Drosophila melanogaster: one gene and its partners. The protein of the gene in region 1 purifies or fractionates together with the protein of each later gene. This does not show direct contact. Each region holds a gene or a part of one and is shown on either strand. Other genes may lie near its edges.

Evidence for each region.
Region 2: the proteins of Ilp2 (region 1) and conv purify together in Drosophila melanogaster (affinity purification with western blotting; one study listed by BioGRID). This does not show direct contact.
Region 3: the proteins of Ilp2 (region 1) and Sdr purify together in Drosophila melanogaster (affinity purification with western blotting, with the first as the bait; one study listed by BioGRID). This does not show direct contact.

The regions. Positions count from the first base shown.
Region 1 is NT_037436.4:9,797,894-9,800,973, reverse strand, and holds Ilp2 (Insulin-like peptide 2), read right to left. Parts: upstream 1,277-3,080; 5' UTR 1,211-1,276; coding exon 1,048-1,210; intron 975-1,047; coding exon 724-974; 3' UTR 534-723; downstream 1-533. Other genes in the region: CG32052 (uncharacterized protein), read right to left, coding at 1,728-1,803; Ilp1 (Insulin-like peptide 1), read right to left, coding at 2,076-2,540. UniProt on the Drosophila melanogaster protein: Possible ligand of InR/insulin-like receptor. Plays a role in regulating body size by increasing cell size and cell number of individual organs.
Region 2 is NT_033778.4:14,268,690-14,276,018, forward strand, and holds conv (convoluted), read left to right. Parts: upstream 1-2,039; 5' UTR 2,040-2,480; coding exon 2,481-2,581; intron 2,582-2,648; coding exon 2,649-2,809; intron 2,810-2,869; coding exon 2,870-3,039; intron 3,040-3,098; coding exon 3,099-3,701; intron 3,702-3,753; coding exon 3,754-4,620; intron 4,621-4,675; coding exon 4,676-4,770; intron 4,771-4,839; coding exon 4,840-5,727; intron 5,728-5,789; coding exon 5,790-6,183; 3' UTR 6,184-6,806; downstream 6,807-7,329. Other genes in the region: Sps1 (selenophosphate synthetase 1), read right to left, coding at 277-1,473.
Region 3 is NT_033777.3:14,916,633-14,923,595, reverse strand, and holds Sdr (secreted decoy of InR), read right to left. Parts: upstream 4,969-6,963; 5' UTR 4,719-4,968; coding exon 4,167-4,718; intron 4,089-4,166; coding exon 3,551-4,088; intron 3,493-3,550; coding exon 3,345-3,492; intron 3,284-3,344; coding exon 2,888-3,283; intron 2,825-2,887; coding exon 2,608-2,824; intron 2,556-2,607; coding exon 2,299-2,555; intron 2,229-2,298; coding exon 1,730-2,228; 3' UTR 513-1,729; downstream 1-512.

The DNA of each region.
Region 1 (3,080 bases):
TTAGTTGATTCCGTTTATTTTAGCTTTCAAAATGTAATAATCTTCTAATTTACAACTACACAGAACGATTAAATTATGAGTATTGCTATAAAATCGGCCAACCGCGACTAGAAATACTCGACTTTTAAGGTCAACATAAAAGTAAGTCAATGTTTTGATTATAAGATTTGATCAATTACTTCTTTACGGATGATATAATCATCGATAAACGAAGTACGAAAAAAGCTATGAACTAAAATTTGGAAATTTCCCACATGCGACTAACTTTTGAATTGCAATTGGATTGCCTACTGTATTAAGACAGAAACAAGTTTTGGAAATGAATGAATGGTTTAAATTGTTTCAAGTTTTTTTAAGATTTTTTTTGTTTTCAATAAATTTAGTTTTAATAGAAAAAAAGATATATTCATTTTAGATTTCTGAATACTTGTGTTATATCGCTTTTTATTCAAGTGTAATAATCAACATATATATCATATAATGATAATAATAAATGTAACGTCCCAAATTAATAATAATATAAAGTAGCATTTGCGATTGTTTGCCAAAGCTTAAAGCAGAATATATATTTAATCCATTTCGATCATTCGTAAAGAGTAACATGCAACAAGCTGTAAAAAACATCGATTGTAGTATATATGCACATGGTTGGTTTGGAACCAGATCCAGAGATAATCGCGTCGACCAGGTCAGTTGGGGTCAATGATTTTCGCATTAGGAGGCCTAATTTCTGACCACGGAGCAGTACTCCCGCAGAGCCTTCATATCACAGGACTTTTTGCAGCACCTCTCCACGATTCCTTGCCGTTGGCGAGTTCGCCTCCGGACTTCAGCCAGGGAATTGAGTACACCCCCAAGATAGCTCCCAGGAAAGAGGGCACTTCGCAGCGGTTCCGATATCGAGTTATCCTCCTCCTCGAACTCCTGGACAAACTGCAGGGGATTGAGGGCGTCCAGATCGCTGTCGGCACCGGCTAATAAAAATCGTGGATACAATGTAGATCTAGCAAAGCCAGCTTGAGGATCTGCATCCTTGTAAGAACTTACGCATGGCGCGCTTGTGTGGAATCACGGGATTATACTCCTCGCACACCATACTCAGCACCTCGTTGAGCTTTTCACTGCAGAGCGTTCCTTGGGCCAACTTCACTGTGGAGCTGGCCAGCAAAATCACGGCCACCATCGAGATGAAGGACAAAGGCTTGCTCATGGTTATGGGTTTACTGCTTAGGTTGCTTTACGATCAAATGGATTAAGTTGGGTCGAGCCGGGTCGAAAGCTAACTGATGATGTTTGGCCCAAAGTAACTGGCTTATATACTGCCTCGTAAGAAACTTAAACTGGGTCTGGGTCGGGGTCGGTCTCTCGGGGTCGGGGTCTGGATCCACACACATGTTATCCTCAAAAGTCAGGTTGTCAAATTGTGTTAGGATGCGATGAGTGCATTCCGGAGTTGGCTCTTCTCTCTAACGCCTGGCTAAACTCATTCAATGTCAAAGCTGACTTATGCAAATGGCTATTGGAAAATTGTGGGTGGTTTTTGGGTGGCTGTGTTTGGGAGAAGAAGGGCTTTGTGGGCGTTTTGCTGTCAGCCAATTAAACAATTTATGTATAAACAGCCAGGCCGTACTAAGCCCTGCATTTATGAATACCAAATAAGTCCTTGGTCTTAAAGTTACCTCGCCTTTACAGCCCGTTTGCCTCTACCATTTCTACCCTATACTTACCAATCCGCGCCTGGGCGCCCGGCAGGCCGGAGTAGGCCAACAAGAACCCGAGCCAGCTGATTGGAGCCAGCAGCATCCTGGCAACGAATTACGCCTCCTTGGTACTTTTCCTTTGACTGTCTTGTCTTTGCCGCTCACACAAATTCTTCTTTTTGCACTGTCTACTTTTATTCATTAGTCAAAGTTGGTGCTGCATAAATAAGTGATTACGAATTGGATTACGAATGCTGTTAGGAGAACGGGTGTACATATAGTATGTATGTGGGAATGCCATGTTCAAGTGTTCGTATGTATGTATGTATGTGTATGCATGCTGGGTAATGAATGTGTGTGTGTTGGCCAAGTGTCCTATTTCGGTAGACAGTAGATGGCTAACTCCAAGTAGCTGCAGGTCTTGACGCAGCACTCGTCGTAGACGCCACCGGTCAGGTGTCTCCTGTGGCGACGCATCTTGATCAGGACCTCGGATCCGTACAGATTGGTTAGCAGTGGACTAAAAGAGTATCCTGCCCCGTCCAGTGTCTGCCACATGCTGCTATCATCCTGCACCTCCTGCTCCGTGTCCTCGTCGTCGTCGCTGTTGCCCAGCAAGCTTTCACGTTTCCTTGGCAGCGTATTAAAGCCATGGGGACACACCACATCCATGGCATCGGACAGTGCGGGGCCGCAGAGTTTGTGGTTTCCGGGGGGCAGCAACTGGTGACCACTGCCAGTCGGCGTGACCATTGCCATTGCAGCGGTGAGCATGGCTGCGATGAGCAGCGACTGGAGCCGAAGGCCATGTACTGCTGCACCGTTGTGCTGGCTAAACATCTTGGATATGCAGTGAATGCTCTGGGCTGCAACTGGTATTTATACCACTAAATCGGAAGCGCTAGCTAATGCAGTTCAATGGCCTCTTCTGCAGTCTAGCATTGCAGTGGCATAGCAAGCCCCACGGGCGTACAAACTGCAAATCCTTTGATCACCCATGTTTCAGGTACCGTTTTTCCCCTAAAAATGCAAACTCTATTTCTAGCTCTACTCCCCAATTTGGATGGAAAAGCGATGCACTGTTGTTTTGGTAGTTGGGGTATTGTATTGTATTTCTTAGCAAATATCAGTTGTATCATTACCTATATCTATCTATACCAATAGTTTGGAATGTATTTGTAAGACATTTTTAAGATATTCAGAAGAGTTAGCCTTATGGGACTTGCTCTAAAGTGTGAATTGATGCACACAGCTTTATCGAGCATAGTTTTCAGTGTAATCACCGCCAAAAAATCCGCCCACTTCAAAGCATAACCCGTTCGCCCAACCTGTTACATTGCCGCTAAGAGGCTCTGACTGCTGTCGATTGCGATTACGATT
Region 2 (7,329 bases), on another chromosome or scaffold:
GTGAGCTGTAATTTAATAACAAAGTTGACTGGAAAAAGCTCATTCAGATGCCCCGCATTCCAATTACTCGATACAAAAGATTCAAGTGTTTTCATTTTATTCACTCGTATTGCAGTAGAGACGTCCAAGATTATAATGATCAGTGAATCTGTAGTTGATAAGCTTTTTTATAAAAAACAAAGACCGATCATGCCGGTTACAACTGAATGTAGCAGCCGTTACGTTAATATTAAGATACTTAAGGTAGACAATAGCAGATGGTCAGGCAATGGAGACCTAGTCCTTGGCGGGCACCTCAATGACGCGGGGCTTGTCGATGATGCGTGCGGTCTTATTGCCCTTCTCAACGATGCCGATGATCCAGGCCTGGTAGCCCTCCTGCTTCTCGATGTCCTTGCAATAAGCAGCGGCCTGCTCTCGCGGCAGGCAGATCAGTAATCCTCCCGAGGTCTCCGCCGAGTGGCCCTGCAGCAGCTGGAACATGTTGCCGCAGGCTTTGGCCACTGCAGCCATCTTGGCGATCACCGGCAGATTGTGGATAACAAAGGAGACATCCTTTTTCTGATGTGCAGCCAGGGTTTGAGCGTGGCCTAGTAGTCCGAATCCAGTAATATCGGTGGCTCCGTGGGCATTGTACTTGTGCATGAGGCGAGCGGCTACGCGGTTGAGGCGAGCCATAGAGTTCATCGCCCGGTGGTAGGCCTTGCGTACATCTTCTTCGGACACCACCAGCTTAATGCGGTTCCAGCGCTCCGGCTGGTCAATCCACTGGTGGGCATTCACGGCCACTTGGGTGCCCAGTGGCTTGGTTAGCACCAGTACATCCCCTACCACGGCATTATCTGGCACAATATACTCATTTGGCTGGCAAATGGTCGAGGCAACCCCACCAATGGTGCACCACGGATTGACCACGCTCTGGCCTCCAGTCACAGTGGTGCCTGCCTCCAAAGCGGAGTCCTTAAAGCCTCGCATTATCAGCGGAATGACCACGTCACGCTCCTTCTCTGTCATCTTGGTACTGACCGCCAACAGCATCAGCATGTTATCGCAATCTGTGACTCCCATGGCATACAAATCGCTGAGCACATTGGCGCACGCAATTTTGCCCATCATGTAGGGATCATCGACAATGGGGTAAAAGAAATCGGTGGTCTGCACCAGGCAGAGTCCGCCGTGTCGCAGCGGAATGACGGAGCAGTCCAGGCCAATACCGATGCGGGGAATGGCCACGTTGAGAAACTGCGGTTCCTGGTCCTGGGCAGAGTAGTCCTGCTGCAGGGCGGACACCAGCTTGGAGAGCACATCCTGCGGCACTTTGCAGCCGCGCCCCTTTAGATCTGCGAAGCGTGTAAGGCGGAAGGATGCATCCAAATCATGGGCCGTGGGATCGAATGGACGACGCAACTCGGCGTCGCCACCACCATGGAGCTCCAAATGGGCCGAGTTCAGCACATCAGCGGCGTAGCTCATCTTGCTTTATAGCTGTGGATGGGGGAGATGCAAAGAACAGAATGTAAGTAGCGGCTTTAACCGATTAACGCACTTTTGCCGCGCAATAAACACATAGTGGGCTACTCTATGCAGCGAGTAACTCGCGTTCTCCCCGGCCACCAATACCACAGCGCTCAGACGTGTATGTACACGGATTTTCTGCCGCGTGTGTGTAGCGCGGCCCGTGATTGGCTGCAGTCGCGATGGCGGCTAAAACGGGCGAAGTCAGTATTTCTCCCTGTCGACGAGGCGAGCAACGTGAACAATGCCCACTCATTTCAATTGCAAAATGCCAAAAAGTGCGCGCTTTGAATTGGCCATTTGGTTCGTTGCGTTCGTTTGTCTTTTGGTACTTACGTTTGCTTGTGCGATTGTACAAAGATAATTGTAGAGTAACGTTAGCAAATTATATTTATTTTGCGCCTGGTTTTTGCTTTTCCAACGAGCGAGATGTCACAACAGGGTTGTATTAGCGTGTGCGGCTGATTCGATATTTGGGATGCCGATTGTCTGAAGCGATGGTTCAACGGGGCTGCCAACTCGCCCGAAATCTATCGATTGTATTGTGCGCCAAGGGTAAAATAAATAAAAATATGTTAAAACCGCGGAATAAATGGGGGAACCGAAGTGGAAACTGTGGTTCACAGTGCTCTGACTTTCGGGAGCAGTTAATATAGTTGGCATTAATTCAATTAGAGCTCCAAAGTGCTGGTCACAAAGAGCGCACAAGAGCGGCCCATGAAAACCTGTTGCGCCAGCAGAGCGAAAAGTAAAAGTAGAAGAAACCATTTACCTTTGTTCGTTGATAAGACAAGTTAACTTTACTCCACATCCCAAAAAAAAACCCACCTCATTCAAGCGGAACATCGTTAAACAAAGAACTATAAGTTTCAGGAAATCGAAGCCCACACAAAAGACTTGAGCAGCGAACTTGGTTTTGGGCCATGGGATAAACTAAATTAAAACGGTGACGAAATCATTAAAACATGATTCAGCTACGCCTGCGCACTCTCGTTTTGCTGCACTTCATTGCCCTAGCCAGTTCGGAATATGTGTATGGCGAACCCGAATTCAAGTGTCCAAAAAAGTGAGTTATTCCAAATATTGTATATTACATATTTCTTCACTTATATGGTGTTTTTTTTTCAAATCAGATCAAAGGCCTTGTACCCCTGCGAATGTGTGAAGGGCAGCGATAATGGCCTCTACATTCGGTGCGAAAATACAAACTTGGCTACCTTATCCGTAGCCCTTCAGAATTTGGCCTCTTTTGGTATGCCCATCGAGGAGTTGACCATCTACAGAGGACATTTCGGTGTGTACTTCTACACGTCCTTTTAGTCTGTTAAGCTGAAGAATCAAATTCTCTTTCTAGTTCGTCTATATGGGCCACTATTTGCTCATATCAAAGCACGAATGCTGATCATAGAAGAAACACCATTGGCCACCATTGAGGATTATGTTTTCTATGGAGTAAATAATACTTTGGAGCAACTGCATTTACTTCGCACAAATCTAAGCCACGTTGGTTTACTAGGATTCGGCGTAAGAATTAAACAATATACCGATACCATCGTTATCTAAACGGGAAATTCTTTTTTCAGATTCTAGGAAAAGCTAAGGAACTCGTAATCGATGGCCATGCGTTCCAACAGCTACCCAAGGATCTATTTGCTGGCCAAGAGATCGCCAATAGTCTGGGAATCATACGTGTGACCAATGGTAACCTAAGTGATCTGCCTATTGAGACTTTCCAGCCATTGCGGAAACTAAAAACGCTCGACTTGCATGGAAATCAATTGGAGAATCTGAAACGAAACCAATTTAAGAATCTAAGAGAGTTGGAGGTCTTGGATATAAGTCACAACCAGATCAAAAAGCTGGAGGCACAGCACATAGCTGATCTGACAAAGCTGGGATGGTGCAACGTTTCTCATAATGCCCTAAGCGAACTTAGTCGCGGAACTTTTGCCAGAAACTCTGTGTTGAAGGTGCTCCATTTGTCCCACAACCAGATTGCACGCCTAGATGCGAATAGTTTTAGGGGTATGCGTTTCCTCCGTCGTCTTTTCCTCAGCGATAATGTGCTCACGGATATTGGTCGTGGTACTTTCGGCTCAATTGCCCGCATTGGAACTATTGATCTTGCACGCAACCGTCTTAAGAAGATCGAGTTCCAGATGTTTACCCAGATGAACTATGTGGAGGTACAATTGCTAATATAAAATTTGAAAAATTTAACTAATTGCTGCTTTTCAGTTGCTCGATTTGGCGGAGAACAACATAACCAAGATTGAAAAGAACTCTTTCAAGGATATTTACCAGGCTATCATAAACGTATCGCATAACGCTTTGGAACTCATTGAAACAGCTGCATTTGAAAATTGTGTAAACATCACGGTTCTTGACTTGTCTCACAATCGGTTGGCCAACTTTTCGCGTCGCAGCTTCGATGAGACCACTTTCGCGACCTATTTTCAGCTGAGCTACAACAATCTTACCAATTTGGCACAGATTCCCATTCAAAATATGACTGGCTTGAAAGTCTTGAATGCCTCGTACAATAGCATTACCGAAATACCCAAAAATTGTTTTCCAAAGCTCTATGAACTGCACACCATCGATGTCTCGCACAATAACATCTCCAGTATATTTAATGGAGTTTTTCAAACCCTATTCTCGCTACGCTCAATTGATCTTAGCCATAATAGCATGAGGGAAATCAAGTCGTCGACATTTGGCACTTTGCCAACCCTCTTGGAAATGGATCTGAGTCATAACGAACTGGTATCCGTAGTGCGAGGATCGCTGGCCAAGTTGACCAGTTTGCGACAGCTGTATTTAAATAATAATCAATTGGAAAAACTTTTCCAGTTGCCTATTTCCCTAAATGAGCTGTACTTCAGCCATAACAGGCTGACTAATATACCATCGGGCACCTGGCCAGTGATGAACTCACTGATCTACTTGGACCTAAGCCATAATCAGCTGGGAGACACTCTAAACGGGGAGAGTTTTACAGGTCTGTTGGTGGTGCAACGACTGAAGCTGCAAAACAATGGCATCAGTCAGCCACCAAAGGATGCGGTGGCTGTCATGTCAACACTGCAGTACTTACATTTGGAGGTGAGCAAATGCTATGAGAATTCTAACCTCCAAACTCATCCAACTTTTTATTTAGAACAACAATATTACGACCTTAGAACGAAGTGCCTTTGGTAAGCTGCCCGTCTTGTTTGAGTTAAATCTGTATGGTAACCAAGTTAAGGATATAAGGTAAGATTTATCTAAAATCTGTACATTTTTTATTTATAATATGACTAATAACCCATTTATAACTTGTAGCAAGCGAGCTTTTGAGGGACTGCTGCAGCTGCTCACTTTAAATTTGTCATCGAACGGAATCCAGACTCTGCAAAATGACATCTTTGTTGGTCTACCATCTCTGCGAAACCTTGATCTGTCCTTCAATTCTCTCACCAAGTTGGACAACAAAACCAATGGTGTTCTGGATGATTTACTCAGTTTGGAAACCTTAGATTTGAGTCACAATCGTATAAGTTTTGTTACCAAGAAAACCTTTCCCTCTCATCAGTACATTCCGTACAACCTAAGAAACCTGAACCTAAGCTACAATTTGATGCCAATACTGACCTATGATATTACATTCGGCACCAAAAAGCTGGTTCGGTTGGATGTATCTCACAATCAGATCAACGATCTAAGGAGAGGAGTTATCTCTAATTTTACTTCACTTCAAAGTTTGGATATGTCTTATAATGAACTATCTAATCTGAAGTCTGAAGAGCACATCTTTGACCTGCCTCAAAACCTGAGCTGGTTGGACCTTTCCCACAACAAAATCTACCACTTGCCGTTCGCCAATCTGGTGAAAGTGAAATCCCTGAAATATGTTGATCTTACCAACAATAGTCTGGAGGATGTGCCCGCTTCGATAGTGGGCAGCATGCGTAATGGTAGCCAAGTACTTCTGGCCGGAAATCCTCTGCACTGCGGATGCAATGCACGACCGTTGAAATACTTTATGCTGCAGCAAACGATAGCTGGAGAGGATTTGAAGAGTATTTACTGCGGAACGCCGGCTTTGATCAAGGACAAGCAGCTTATATCTTTGGACGATGAGTATCTGCACTGCGCCGAGGATGAGCAGGAGATGTATAAGGGCATTGACTATGAACAGCTTACAGATGTCCGATTCCGAGAAGTGAAAACGTATGCATATTTTGCAGTTTGAACTTAAAGTAACTTATAATCCTTGTACATTTTTCAAATAGCAACAAAGCGGGCATGTTGACCCTATGCTGGTATGTCTCCGGCTTTTCAGACGTCTCAGACTTCCACGTTTATATCCGAAGCAGTAGCAACGATGTGCTTCACCAGTCGGACTATGCCTATAACAATCGTACTGCCCAAATCCCGGTGGAAGAGCTATCGACGCTGGGAGAAGAGAAACTTCGAGGCGCTGAGATATGTATAGTATCCCGGGATAGCGATGGAAATACGCGCAAGTGGTTCTCCGGGCAGTGCCAGCAGCTACCTTCGCTGAAGCGGCCCCGGACTTTCTTCTTCGGAAACTTTCAGGTCCGCGGTGGCGTTTCCCGGACCTCCAGCAGCCTACCTCGTTGCCTTTTGTATATAATACTCGTTTTGTTTGTTGCCAGATTGTAGTTAGCATGGGAAAACTGTGCACCAAGATTATTTTCTTAATAAGTAGATAACTATACTCGAAAATGATTGTAATACTGATTGTCTTCAAGTTACAAATTGTGCACTTTATGTATGTAAAAATCGTTTTAAGTTCGTATCGATGTGATAAAATGAATCTTGAAAAGAGATCAGATTGTCCTTGATCTTTGATCCCATTGTTGGCCGTTTGCTAGTGTGTGTCGCTGTGGCCATGGCTCACTGTAAGGACACGCTGTGCTCTGACCTTACAGCTGAACATGTGCGCGACGCCCTATTATCACAGCCGTGCGCACATGTATTTGTTTACTTGGACGCCGCCTCGCGTGGGCAGCGCAATTCAGAAAGCGTTGGAGCCCACAGCCAACCCAACGGGCCAGCTGATGGCTGATGGCCCAGGCTGGCTGACTTTCATTCAGGGCGAAAACACAAAGGCTGTAATCCGAAGTGCTCTTCGGCGCGGCGATTCATTCTCAACTCGGACTCGGCTCCTGTTTGTGCAGCGGGAGCGGACAAAAGGACTGCGAGCGAGTGAAAGGACTCGCCTGAGAGCCTGGCAAATGCGCACTCGCGCTCTCAACCGAAAAGGCATGCGAGTAGCACACTGGCGGTCGAAATTGTTTGCACAGCTACAGTATCGGCATGCTCCTAGAATTATGCTATTGTTTTTGTTATTTGGCTCTACAGTTTCCTGTTCTGAATATATTTAATTTATTACCAGGGGGGAAATATACATACGTTAGCAATGTTTTTAAAGCTTTATTATTTCTTAAATATATACAACACAAATTTAATGTAAAGGTACAGCAATTAAGATTGTTTTTAATTTTTGGATTTTATTACTGAGGTAATTTCTGATCAATACATGTGTGTATTACACCCTACCTTATTCGATAGCTTCCAGGAGATATTGAAGGAGCATCCAAAGGACCTATCAATTCGACCGAACCTCCACTGTGCCGCAGGACACGAGACACTAAGGACATGTGCACTTTCACTGCCGCGCGCCACCCACATGCTCTCGGTTTCACTTTGGCCGCAGAAGAATGTGCTTTTGTGCCGTTCGCCTTTGCCATCCTGGTCCTCCTGCCCCCGCCGCCTCCTCCTTAGGATTTTGGCAGGCGACTTTGC
Region 3 (6,963 bases), on another chromosome or scaffold:
GGCGGACGGAGGAACTGCTAAACTGACGCACTGACATCGACGAACCGCACCCAAAGTGCTTGGCCCGGCAAGTGCATAGATAACAAACGAGTGCAAGGATAACGAGGCTACACGGCAAGGACTACGTTTGCAACCACAGCTACAGCTGCTACTACAACTGCGTCTATGGCAACGGAAATAACGCGAAAAATGGTGCAACAGCAAAGGGCGAAGAGGAGGGGACAGTGAAATATTGAAATACAATTGGTTTAGGATAAGATCACACACAGCCCCATATCTCTTCCTTCCTCCACTTAAAGACGGCGCCAAAGGATGTGGCATAAGTGGTTTCCAGCTGCCCAGCATTTTGCTTTAAGTCCAGCCAGTTGATTTAAATGGCTACATCAAAAATTGAAAAAGAGATTAGTTACACTCAGTAGGTTGAATAAGGTTTGCCAGCGGGTATTAGCTCACTAAAAAGAAACTCTAGCTTAGACTAACAAATATGATAAACTTGAGTATTTTTAAAGGGAATTTTATTGTAGACAATGAAATGTTATACCTTTTATTGATTGGCTTTCAATTGCAGTATATTATATATGACCTAAATTTGTGCTAGTGAGTTTCTTGCAGTGAAGCTTCCAAAGTACGCGAAGGGATAGTCGCCAAGTTACCCCCTTTGGAGTACTTCACTCGCGACCTCTAAGGTAGTTAAATTGCGCGTCAGTGTCAGCGGCAGAATTGAAATCCTTTTCCTCTGCAGGCACTCTGAGCGTCCTTAGCTTCCCGCATCCCGCTCACCCCTCGCCGCTCATACTTAGTCCTGCGTCAATCACGAACCGCTTTTCCCCATTGAGTGGGACACGTTTTCATGGAACTTTTCCAGCTGCGCCGAAAACTTGGCCACAAACAAGGCGACACATGACACGTACTCGACTTGACTCCACTCCACACCGAAAGCAAAAGCATCGTCTCGACCTAGTCCCTTTCCGCCCAGTTTTCGATGGTGGGGATTAGTTCTAGTTTTTGTCAGTGTTTTAAAGTTTAAAGCTCTTTTGCGGCATATTTGCATATTAAGTGGCATGCGTTGGAAGTTCCAGGCAGCCTGCTGTTGTTAGTTTCGCCTAGGCTTATGCCATGGCCAATCTCGAGAGAAAGGTAACCGCTTTCCGGGCCAAGTTGAGGATCTCAGGAATCACTGCTGTCAGTGAGGGTTTTTCCCTTTGAACGGTTTCTGGCTCTGGCACACATTGCAAGGACGTGCGGCTAAGTCTGATAAGCTGATAAGTCAAATTAGCACTGATGAAAACATTTGCTCGCTTGTCGAGGATTTGTTTGGCATTTACACATTTACAATACATTTGGAGGAACTACAGTCACTTGACTTACAATACTTAGTTGGGCCCATATGACACGGCTTACACATTACATTACATTTTAACAATTGATTCAAGTAAAAAGCATTAAAGCTGTTCAGTCTAATTATAATCAAAGTTAAAAACCGAAAAATATTAAAAAAAAAAATTAATTCCAAATAGTAAAACTACGACATATATAGTCTGGAAAAATAAGAGGTCCAGCGGTCCTTCTATGTCAAGTTTTTTAGAACAATAAATACAGATATAGTAAATGTTAAACACGTTGATTTAGGTTGATATTGCATCAAGTTTTCAACATGCCTATCGTCATATGGGTCTAGCATTTATCACTTGTCAGCGGATACAGAAAGTCTGCGATCGAGGATTCTCTGCTAAACACCCTTGATGAATCGCTCCAGTTGGATGCTTGCAGTCTTGATTACAGCTTCCGCCGGAGTTGAGCATCCGTTGACCACGCCCTCGACGCAAGCCCGTATGGTGATCCGGTAATGGGTTTCCGGCTCCAACTGGGAGAGGCAGTAAAAGTGCTGGGTGCCCGGAAGTTCGTAGCCACTCAAGGGCTCCTCAGCCACGCATTTTTCCTCCACTTGCTGGACCACGGATGCGTGGGAGTTTTGGCACTTGGGCAAGGCATGTCGGATGGTATACTTGTGCTGGTCCAAGTCCTGAAGATCCCGCTGCTTCTTCTCGCTATTCAGGCGATAATTCTCATAGTTAATTGCGGCCAATCTCTCCTTAGCCAATGTTGCATTTGTAGGAGCAGGAGTGGTTGTGGGCGGTCTGGTGGGCTCTTCATCCTTCTTTATGGACAACAGGTGCTCATAGTTAATCACTTTTTCGAACTCCTTTCTGCGATAGTCGTGATTGCGCCTATAGATGGTATAATATTGTATATTATTTCAATTGAAACTTCAAAGAAAACCATATTTTCTTGTCTTACGAAACATAAATGAGATTGGGCAACGCATCCTCGTAGGTGATTTGCTCTTTGTTGTAGTAATCCTCGTCATCTGGCTGAGGACCTGAATAGTAGGGCAGTACACCAGCGCACTCACAATCGATGTCTTTAGCATTTTCCAACTCAACATTCACATAATTTTTGTCCTTTGCTTCCTTGGTAGCATTGTACTTTTCGGCGGTCACAAAATAATTTTTAATGACTCCATTTGGACGCCTCGGTGGCCACCAGTGAAGAAGCTGGAAATGAACAAGTTTTTAAGCTGAGAGATATATTTTGAAAAGTACTTACAATCTGGGAACTGATTTCCGAACTGCCATATATTCGGAGCACAGGACTTGGCCTATCCGGTAGCGTCTGGAAGTAGCCGATTTTTGAGTAGGCATCTATCTGAATATGATATTCGGTTCTGGTGAGGGTCTTCACGAAATACGCATACTGTGTGTAGGGCTTCAGACCGCTTATCACATGACGTCGACTCTGGTTGGGCACAACGTCCATCAGCCAGCTGGAAAATTATAAACAGAATCACTGTAGGTAAACTTGGTGAGGGCGAGGAGTCCACACCCACTTGTCATGACCGCAACCATGCCGACCATCGTACATAGTCACGTTTTGCACCGGGGCTTCCTTGTAGTGATACGAATATCCTATTAGCGTTTCCATACCCTCCCAGTCCATGTAGTCCAGGATGATGCGTACCGCAGTGGAATTTAGGTCCTCCACTTTGGGATTGAGGGAGCGCACCGCGTCGCCACAAATCACGCGTTCGCCGTTCGAATTGGGGGATACATCTGCCACGGATATATTCTCTCCGCTTTTCAGGGAGCCCTGTAGCTGATGGATTTTCTCGTAGCACAGGCGGGGATTCAGGTGAAAGAATAGTGTACCGCGCTGAATGATCACCAGGTGATTGGGTGGCCAAATGTGCTCCAAATGGTAGTTATTCACTACATACAGGGCGTATCTGAAAATGAGATAAATAATATTATTAGAATTTCAATACAATCCTTGCCTCTCAAACTAACTTGTTTTCCACCAGCTTATCCCCTCTTATGGCATCCAAATTCTGAAGAAATGTGAGCGACATCAGCTGTGCAGAGTGTATGACCTTCAGATACCCAGTGATCTCTTTAACACTGGCCAACGCATTTTCCAAGGCATCTACAATTTTTTCTGGAAAATGTATTATGTAAGTAAATTATACAGATATCATATATGATATGAAACACACCTTTAATATTGGTGAGTTCGATGGTAAGTGAACCATTGATCGTCACACAGTCTTGTAAAACTTCCAGGTCGGCAGCACTCTTCACGTGAAAATCGCCGTTGCACTCCACCTGGCAGTGGATGATGCCCTTGGCGACCAAAATCTCTTTCTGGTTTCCCGGACACTTTTTCACACACTGATAGCCGCGTATCAGGGGAATCCTTCCCAATTCCCGGCACTCCCTGTGACCGATGCACCTCCTCTTGTTTAATTCATAGCTGGCGACACACTGATTGACACATCCCATTCTTCCCTGGTAGTTTGCACAAAGGGAGCAGTTTTGGGAATAGCAACCAGTTACACAGTTGTGATCACAACATTTGCCCGCACTATCACATCCGTTTAGGCCACATGCAATGGGGCAGTCCTTAAGTCTGGGCGGTTGGGGGCGAAGTTGTGTCGTATTCACGTTCCAGCAGCGCTCCGAGGAGTTCCGGATGAACTCGAAGTCCGCTGACAGGCTACCACACAAAGGGCACTGACTTTGCGGTCTGTTGTGCTATGGTTAATAAAAAAGTTATTTATCCAATATTTGCTTAATATCAAGGAACATATGCCCAAGTATATCTTCACTCACTTTAAGGGAAAAGTGCTGCCGAGTGGCATTGCCCATTAGATATATCCAATCGACGGTTTCCACGAAGCACAGCAAGGGATTCGATTCGACGCGAATGAATCCGCTCTGGATGCGCAATAACTCCACCAGGCCGAGCTCCCTGAGATTGCGATTCTCGTAGACCACCAGGGAGTACTGATCAAAGAGGAGCTCCTGCCCACGAATGATACGCAGCCGTGGGAATATCGACTGCAGGCTGATCAGACCCGTGCAGCGATACACCATTAGGTAGTCACTGATCTCGGTCACATTGCTGGCCAGCGAATCCAGGCTGTAGTTGCCGGATACATCCGTCAGATCCACATAGGCCAGTCGAACGTGACCCACCACATGAGTACAGTTCTGCAGTTTCCGCAGGTCCGCAATCTTATTTATCTCCAACGATCCGCAGGCGGTTTGATCATCGGAACTGGCCAAAACCGGCGATGAGGCGCCCAAAAACAGCAGTATCAACGGAACTGCGATCGAGATGGGGATCGGAAGGGGGTTGGGAACGGGGTGCAGATGCCCCATGCTGCCACCTGACACTTCCAATTGAGAGCACTTGACCCGGGCGTTAAGGGGGCTTCCAATGGATCAATTAGCGCGCCCGCTTGAATGTCAATGTCGTTTTTCTCGCACGATCGATCGGTTGAACTATATATTTTTTTAAATATTTTTTCCGCTTTTGAAGAGAGCTGCGTTCGCGGCAACGATTCGATTTGGACTGATGGCATTCGATTCGAACAGCGTTCTGTGCTTTCGATCTCTTTAATTAGCCTCTTCTTTCGGCATTCACTTTGTTTTGTTTTGTTTGGTTTTGTTTCACACTGTTATTTCTTTTTTATGCGCTCGTCTTCGTTCTCTAAACCCTTCGGCTACACCAGCGGAAAATCGTGTAGTGTTCATAAAACTATTCAAATTTGTCGACATTTATAAGAACCTAAAAATGTATGCAAAGCGAACATATTTAGTAACCTTTTTCTTAAGCAAAATATCTTTTAAGCAGATTTCCAAAATTATTACAATAATAAAATATTTAGCATATTGTTTGATAGAGCCAATTCTAATATAAATATCTAAATATCTTCAAAAACCAGAACTATTTTTTCGACTCGGTGTATAAAAACTGCTCAAGAATGAAAATCAAAGGTGGTGGCTGTTGTGAGAGAAGAAGACTGATGATTCGATGGGGAGCAGTCTGGTAATATTTACGTTAATGAAAGTAAACATTTCGTAAAACAATATCGTAAAATAATATACTTGCCGGTCTTGCTATTTGTTTGTTTCTAGTTTTCTCAATCAAATTTAAACCCCCTAATGCCCTTTTGCAGTCAATTAAAAAAGTGATATACGAAACTTAAAATTAAGATTAAGAGTACCATGATAATTCGTATGATCTTTTACGGTTTTTGATAGATCGATTTGTGGAGCTACAAATGAAATTCAAAAACTGGAAACCCTTTTTGAAATTCTTGGCACGCCACTGTTTCATTTTGTTGGGGAGCGATTATTTTACGCATCTGTTACCTTTCACGTTTTTCTCATTGTCGTTTCCTTGTTGCCGTCAGCCGAAAAACACTTGTTACTTCTGCAACCGCCACAGCCCCTTGCCACGCCCCCACTCCCCATGTGACCTTGCAACCATTTGCAAACCGGTTGGATCCTCTTCCCCCTTCCTCCTTAGCTACCTTCCCCTTAGCCACCTACCGGCGTTCTTTACCTTTTTCCCCAGAGTGCATGTCTTTGCCTTTTGTTTTTGCATTTGCGCAGAAATTAAATTGCACCGGCGAACAATTCAATTAGAGTGAATGCAAAAAAACAGTGAAAATAAGAGCGAAAATGGTGGGAGGGGGTGAACCAAAGCTCCAATCCAATTGGTAGAGTAGTGAGCATTGAACAACGCGCAATTGGCAGTTCATTAAGGTGCAAGTAACGCTCAATGGAATCGGAAAAAGAATTTTCTAAATTTAGTCAGATGCCAATTGAATACGCAGCTTGAATGATTGTTCAATAACAAAAAAATAGATAATATATTTATGTGTTAAATACAATAGCAATAGAAATCTATAAATAATTTGCGCAAAATTGTGCCCCGTTGTTTTAGATATTTTAATGGGCAAACCACATAAAAACGCACGAAATAATTTCAAATTTTCACTTTGTTATTATAGGGTATATCTTTAGTGTAGTACTTTGAATATATCATTACATATGTAACAGCGGATAAAATCTGCCTAATTCACCCCAGGATAATTATTTAGTTATTATATCTATTCCAAAAATTATTTTAAACATAATAATTTATGTTACCGTCGCGATAATCCATTCAAAATTAGTTAATAATTGATAAAACCATCATCAATGGTCAATATAGGCAGTAATTTATTATTATTATTTATCATAAAACGTTATTTTTAGCTTTAAATATGCTTAAAGCCAACTTCTATTTCTAAAAACAAAACTGCCATAAACTGTATCTTTTTTTAACGAGTGCAAAATGCACAAATTCACGCAAAATCACCAGCTGCACCCACATAAAAAATCGCAGTAAACGTGTGAAAAAACCACACAGGCATAACTATCAATGATTTTTTCGTTAGCTGATGTGCTCTTTTTCTCCGTTTTCCCGCCACCCGCCTGTGAATCAATTTTCGCAGTAATTTGCAGAGCCTGCGCTGATGTGAAACGCGCGGAATTTAATGCAGCATCCTTTCCGGCGGCACGTCAAACTATGAGCATCCCCACCAGCGCCCACTACCACCCCTCACCACGGAAG